Ovis aries: one gene and its partner. The protein of the gene in region 1 interacts with the protein of each later gene in a biochemical or structural test. Links are inferred from orthologs where the notes say so. Each region holds a gene or a part of one and is shown in the gene's direction. Other genes may lie near its edges.

What was found.
Region 2: the proteins of NUP155 (region 1) and GLE1 form a complex in vitro, tested with the Homo sapiens proteins (2 studies listed by BioGRID). The link is inferred for Ovis aries from reciprocal best matches to the Homo sapiens genes NUP155 and GLE1.

What each region holds. Positions count from the first base shown.
Region 1 is NC_056069.1:37,133,790-37,137,538, forward strand, and holds the start of NUP155 (nuclear pore complex protein Nup155), read left to right. Parts: upstream 1-1,487; 5' UTR 1,488-1,614; coding exon 1,615-1,771; intron 1,772-3,749.
Region 2 is NC_056056.1:7,818,032-7,821,680, reverse strand, and holds part of GLE1 (mRNA export factor GLE1), read left to right. Parts: intron 1-3,117; coding exon 3,118-3,260; intron 3,261-3,357; coding exon 3,358-3,548; intron 3,549-3,649. UniProt on the Homo sapiens protein: Required for the export of mRNAs containing poly(A) tails from the nucleus into the cytoplasm. May be involved in the terminal step of the mRNA transport through the nuclear pore complex (NPC).

The sequences.
Region 1 (3,749 bases):
ACAGTCCTACTATGCGCTGGGGATGAAACAGTGAATTAGACTCATCTGCTTCCCCTCTTGGAGAAGGCAATGGCAACCCACTCCAGTACTCTTGCCTGGCAAATCCCATGGATGGAGGAGCCTGGTAGGCTGCAGTCCATGGGGTCGCTAGGAGTCGGACACGCCTGAGCAACTTCCCTTTCACTTTTCACTTTCATGCATTGGAAAAGGCAATGGCAACCCACTCCAGCTTTCTTGCCTGGAGAATCCCAGGGACGGGGGAGCCTGGTGGGCTGCCGTCTATGGGGTCGCACGGAGTCGGACACGACTGAAGTGACTTAGCAGCAGCAGTTCCGTGTCGCTACCAGTTGATTTTGTGGTACGTTACCGTGAAAATTTATGTTTACGAAATCTTCACTGGGTACAGAGATCTGATGCCTTGCTTTATTTCTCATTGCAGAGGGGAAGCTGCTGCTGCTAAGTCGCTTCAGTCGTGTCCGACTTTGCGACCCCATAGACGGCAGCCTAGCAGGCTCCCCCATCCCTGGGATTCTCCAGGCAAGAAAGCTGGAGTGGGTTGCCATTGCCTTTTCCAATGCATGAAAGTGAAAAGTGAAAGGGAAGTTGCTCAGGCGTGTCCGACCCTCAGCGATCCCATGGACTGCAGCCTACCAGGCTCCTCCGTCCATGGGATTTTCCAGGCAAGAGTAATGGAGTGGGGTGCCATGGCCTTCTCCGGACACGGAACTAGAAAGCCTGATTTACACTGAAGCCCATTAGAAATGTAGAGAAGTTTTGGTTTATGGGTAAACTTTTTCTAACGGTTACCAATTCCTATCCACTCTCAGAAGTTACTTGGTAGTGAAGTTGCTCAGCCGTGTCCGACTCTTTGCGACCCCATGGACTGTAGCCTATCAGGCTCCTCGGTTCACGAGATTTTCCAGGCAAGTGTACCGGAGTGGGTTGCCATTTCCTTCTCCAGGGGATCTTCCCAACCCAGGGATCGAACCCTCATAATAGGCAGACACTTTTACCGTCTGAGCCACCAGGGAAGTCCGAAGTTACTTGGACCACCAACCAAATTGACACGAAACTCAAATAGGTGCTGTTTCGGATTCCCGCTACCCGAAGCTCGAGGCACCCGGATCCAAGCGCGCGCTGAACTCACCAGAACCCGAGCAAGTCTGCGCAGTACCCGCAGTAACCGGCTCCCACCCACTCGGCCCCTCCACCCCTCCGACCCCTCCACCCCTCCTTCCTCTCCACCCCTACAGACCCCCGTCCCGTCCCTCCCCTTCCCTTGGCCCCACCCCTTTTCCCTTCCACCTCCGTCTCTCCCTTCCTCCAAGACAACACCGACTTCCCCCCGCCTCCCCAAACAGCCACCTCCCTCTCACTTAGCTCCACCCCTAACGTCCACCCCCACCTCTATCAAGTTCCCCTTCCCAGCTGCCAAATTAAATGCAAGCTTCAAATTCCCCACCCGATGAACCGGAAGTGCGTCATGCACTGGCGCCGAGGCGCTCGTTTGGCGCGCGCGCTCTAAGCTTTGGGGCTGAGCTAGCTTCTTGGGTTTTGTCTTATTTCTCCTTGCTTTTTGACTTTCTCCGGTTGCTGTTGTCTTCGGTTTTCGATATGCCGTCTTCTTTGCTGGGGTTGGCGATGCCGGCCTCCACGTCGGCGGCAGCCCTGCAGGAAGCTTTGGAAAATGCGGGGCGGCTCATCGACCGTCAGTTGCAAGAAGACCGCATGTACCCGGACCTATCCGAGCTTCTCATGGTGTCTGCTCCAAGTGAGTGATCGTTGCCCAGTTGGTGACTGTTTCTCAGCCCAAAGGACTCTGATCTGACTCCATAAATAGGTCCCATCCCCAGGGTGAATGGGCGAAGACATCCTGAGATTTAGGGCGTTCGTGTGGGTTGCCATTCCCTTCTCCAGGAGATCTTCCCAACCCAGGACTCAAACCGGGGTCTCCCTCTTTGCAGACACACTCATTACCGTCTGAGCCACAAGAGAAGCCCTAAAGGGGGAAAAGAGCCCATTTTCAATTTTTTCCTTCTCTCGCCCTTCATCACAGGCAATTGAGAGGCTAGGAACGAGGAGCAAGCCCCTATTTGAGGCAGAAAGAGGCAAATATTTTAACCTTAATGAGCTTCTCACTACCTTCAGGTGTTTATCGCTAAGACTGGATGAGGAGGATCACCTGATCCAAGTTTCATCTGTTAATATCTCGTTTCACTATCGGAGTAAAACCGAAGAGCAAACGAAGTTAATTAGGAAATTTACTATGTTCGCTGAAAGATATGCCATGTTATGTGTAGCGTTACTGTAATATGAAATGCTGAAGGGTATGAAAAAGAACTACAAGCGGAATGAAGGAAGGGAACAGGGAAACGAGTGATGATGAACAGGGAGGGTAGGGCAGATTTTGTGCCAACAAAAGACAGGTGTCTGTACAATATTCTGTTTAATGGTTTTGAATTAAGGTCCGGCTCCTCAAGGCACATAGAATCACACAAGTTGCTAGAAAAGAAGTGACCCTTGTGTAAGGTGGAAATTGGAGAAAAGTTGAGGAGAGTAAATAAGATAAGCACAAGGTTTTGGCAAGCATGAACCAAGATATTTTAAGCAGGATAATTCCCAGGTGGCTCCGTGGTGAAGAATCCACCTACCAGTGCAGGAGATGAGGGTTTGATCTCTGGGTTGAGCAGATCCTCTGGCTACAATGCTCTTGCTTGAGAAATCCCAGGGACAGAGGAGCCTGGCAGGCTACAGTCAATCGGATCACAAAGGAGACGGACCGGACTTGGCAACTAAACAACGACAATATTTGCAATGTAAACCTAAAAGACAGCTCCTGCAGTTTAATAAAATTCATTGACTTAAAATCAGAGAAAAGACAGGAACAAAGCAAGGAGTATTTATTCCTGACAGCTACTCACACGTGGGCTTGTCTTGTAAGAACTGAGTGACCTGTTAGCAGCTCTCATTTTGAACAGCACCACTCCCTTTGACCTTATTTCTGAAAGTAAACTGAAAACAGTGCATATCTTCTTGTCTTCTCTTCATATCTCACCCCAGTTCAACCTGTCCACCTTTACATACATCTACCTCTCTAACCAAATCTTTCCTTCTTCCATCCTATTCTTTACATCCTTGTTCCAGTTATACTGAATGTAACACATTTACTATAATAAGAGACCCCCTCTTTCATTTTTCATGTATTCGTCGTCATTTCTAGACTGTTCTTCTTTGCCTAATAAGCTGTTTTTCCAGGCTCCATTAAATATCTCTTTCCTTCTGTAGGCTTTCACAATTCCATTGTTTTCCCACTGCCATTTAACATGCACAGTGTTCTACATGTAATGTATGGCTGAGGTCCTTCACTGTTCACCTGAAGCTATCACAACCTTGTTAATTGGCTACACTCCATTACAAAATGTTTTTGGTGTTCAAAAATAAAAGACTTTTTAAATTAAAAAATAGTGAAGTGTCTCAAAAATTATATTTTAATATTAAATAGAATGTCTGCAATTTGCTTCAAAAAATACGTTAGGGAAGAAGTGGATAGGACTGATATATGTAAAACATGACTGGGCATATAACTGGTAGTTTTTGAAGCTGGATACTCAATACATAAGGATTGACTGAATTTGTTCTCTAGTTGTATAAATTTTTAAATTTTTCATAAAATTGTTTTGTATGTCATTTCCCCACAACATCTTTGTACTTTAGAGAGGCAGAAAATAGATGATCAGTCAGATCTAAAA
Region 2 (3,649 bases), on another chromosome or scaffold:
GTCTGAGCAAATGTTGACTGTTGGATCAGGTGTATAAGCTATGTGCCTTGGCTAGTTTACTCTCTGCGTGTAGAAGGTAATCATTATGTGTTTGTTGACTCTTTTCTTTTTAAATAAGTTATGTATTAGTAGCAAATTATTTAGGAAGACTCTTAGCTACGATTGGAAGTTACTGGGGAAGGCACCCCTTAGGGAGCCTAGGATGTGACCCGCATTCTTCGCTTATGTCCTACAACGTTAGCTTTTCCAGACTCAAAACCTGCTTGTTAATACATGAGAACCCTGAGAATGCCTACTCAGTCTCTCGAGAGACTGAAATTTAGAGAGGAAGAACCACACGAGGGAAAGACCCCTCTTCTTCTTTAGAAACAGAGGTTCATTTTCACAGAGCTCAGATGTAGAAGCCTCCACATGGCTGGGGAGCTTGTGCAGCTGGGAAGCTGCTCTGACTTAACCTCCATCCAGGTTCCCTTGATTAACTTGTTACCTAGAAAGCGTGGAAAGTTGCACTTCTTGCCTTTGAGAGGCTCTGTGACTGAACTTACATATCACTTTGCTGCCTGAAATTCCTTCTGGAACAAAGCAAGGTCTAAATAAGTAAATATGTATCACTTTCTAGAATTGAAAGTGCCATTTCCTTTATAGCCATGGCATTGAGGGGCAAGGTTGACCAGACAGTCGTCCCACACTTTCTCTGGTCTGCTCAGGTTCGTCCTCGGTCTTTACCCCTCAGTTGACCACAGGCACCCCTGATGCCTCCTTCGTCTGGAAAACTGAGACATCAGGTGTAAGATCCTCAGGATTCCCCTCAACCCCCCAACCCACCCGCTGCAGTAATACACAGCTGTATTTACCTGCTTTGAAACCATCCTGTTTCAAAGAATGCAGTACCCTTCCAGCCCACACTTCCCCTTCCACCTCGGCCCTAAATGAGCCTCAGGAGCCTCGTTATCATCCCCTTCTATCTCCGTCAAGAGAGAGCTCTTCTGTTTTCTACAAAATGACTTTCTTTACACGCTCCTTTCCCTTTAAACATGCTTGTCACTCACATTCTAAAACCTGTTTCTTTTGATTTTGTGTTTTCTCAGTCTTTTCTAATCTTCATGTTACCCTTTGGCTCTGTTGACTGTTCCCTTCTCTATCACTTCTAGTCCTGTGGCTTCTGAGGTAACATTAATTTCCGGCTTCTCCTCCTCCCTCTCTTTCTCTTTTGTGGGCTCCTCAGTCTCCTGCCCCCACCTGGGTGGTAGGTGTGTCCTGGGGATGTGCTTTCACCCTGCAGTTCTCATTCTAAGACCCCCTGGCTTCAAACTTCACCTCTGCACACATGACACCCAGCTCAGTCTCCGGGTCATTCCTTTCCTCTGAGCTTCAGGTTACCTTGCTCCAGCTACCTGCAGGGCAGCTCTGCCTAGGTATCTCTCAGCTTCCTCAGGTTTAGTGTTCCCAGCTGGCCTCTCATCGTCCTCCTCTCGCCCACCTTTTTTCCGGTTTGCTCTAAGTAACCAGTAGAAGCACCTTATCTACTCAGTCACCTTAACTGAACCCGGGAGTCCTCCCCATGACTGCTTCCTCTGGGTCATTGTCTGTATCTAATTAGGCTCTGGTTTTGCGGTTCTTGATTTTCCTGCCTATTTCACAACTGTGTCCCTTTGCTTCCATCAGTATCATAAGCTCTGTGAGAGCTTACAGCCCTGTCAGACACAGACATTCTGCAGAGTTAGTGCTCAGTAAGTGTGGAGTGACTGAGAAAGAGGTGACCTAATTCCTGCCTCTTCAGAGGTGCATGTCCACGAGTAGTTAAATGTGGAGCAGAATTTAAAGACAGATATGGTGCCATTGTGGCATACGGAATGTGGGAGGCCATGTCAGGCACCGGGCTGGGATCTGATTTTCCTAATTGGAGGGGCACAGGGAGAGGGGCTGGATGGGGACTTGGCCAGTGGGGCCCTCTGAAACCATCAGTAAAGAAATAGTAGGGTTATAGGTTAGCAGGAATGTGAGCTGAGTAAATTTGATGGAAACATATATATTTTAATATCTCAGGTTAGAGTCTCTGCTTCTGTTTTCAGGGGATTGTTGGCCTTGAAATTTCTATGACATCTCATTATTTAACTCTTGATTTCTTCCTTTTTCTCTTAATTCCTAAGAAATGTGCCACCCCTCTTCCCTGTTTTTTCAATGAAACTGAATCAGTGGTCTGGGGAGGATATTTCTGAGATTTTTAAACATTTCTTTAAATGATTATGAACTTGGTACAGGGTATTAGGAACTTGGCAGGTAAATTGGAGATGCTGTATTCATTCAAACATCAATTTTAAATAATAGAAACTAATTCATATCTGCTTAAACCAAAAAAAGGGAAAGGAAGGAGGAATAGGTAGAGTGAGGGGTTTGTCCTAAAGATAAATCAGTTTTCTACGGCAGGAGTGGGGCTGGATCTGAGGAGCCAGAAATGTCAGGACCCTTTTCTCTCTTCTCTTGGGCTTCCCTCTGCCCACTTCATTCTCCTTTTGTAGACGGCTGTTCTTTGGTCCGCATGACAGCACCACTGCTTACATATGTGTGTGTCACAGGACTGGCCACTTCAGGGAACTGACTCAGTCAACTGGCTGATCAGCTCAGCTCAACTCATCCTGATCTAACTAGCCAGTGTAGAAGGTGGGGCACACAGGATCTATAATATGAATGTAATAATAGCTTCTATGGAGGAAGGTAGGTCCAAGAGAAGGAGGGAAAGCCCCTGTGAATTGGAGATTCTTTAGAAGGTTTTCCCGGAGTTACAAGTGACTCCTTTAGGGACATCAGCCATACCCGTAGCATCTGGAACAATTCAGCACCTATTTTTATACTATTGATCTCTCTGATGTGTCGGTTTCAGAATTAGTTCATTCTACCAATGATAAATTCCTTCAAAATAATACCACACCCTATGTACTTTCACATCCTCCACAACCTGTATTTGATTGTCATATATTTTTCTGCATCTGTATTTTGGCTTTAGGCTCTGAACTTCTGTAGGGCTGGGTTTATACAGAGGCTTTGTTATTGCAGTGATGAAAAGAATAGATTGACTGCAGTCATATCGTATCACTGACTCTATCTCTGTCGTCCCAGGCTCGAAGCTGAAGGAGATCTTTGACAAGATCCACAGCCTACTTTCTGGAAAAGCTGTCCAGTCTGGTGGGCGCTCCGTGTCTGTCACACTTAACCCACAGGCCCTGGACTTTGTCCAGTACAAACTGGCAGAGAAATTTGTGGTGAGAAACCTTGTTGCCAAAGGTATGGGAAGAAGAGGCTGGTGCCTAGCCTTTAAGGCTTTCTTGAAATTAAATTCTCCCCTCTCTGTGCTCCCAGAAACAAGGGGAGGAGGAAGTGGCCTCCCATCACGAAGCAGCATTCCCCATCGCGGTCGTGGCATCTGGGATCTGGGAGCTCCACCCCAGAGTAGGGGCCCTCATCTTGGCTCACCTGCACAAGAAGTGTCCTTACTCTGTTCCTTTCTATCCAGCATTCAAAGAGGGAATGGCTTTGGAAGACTATCAGAGGTGAAGTGTTGTTCTCCTTACTGTCCCCAGGAAGAGAGAGAGAACTGAGATTCATTTCCCCTCCTCAGAGCATCTCTTATGTACCTTGAACATTCTGTCAG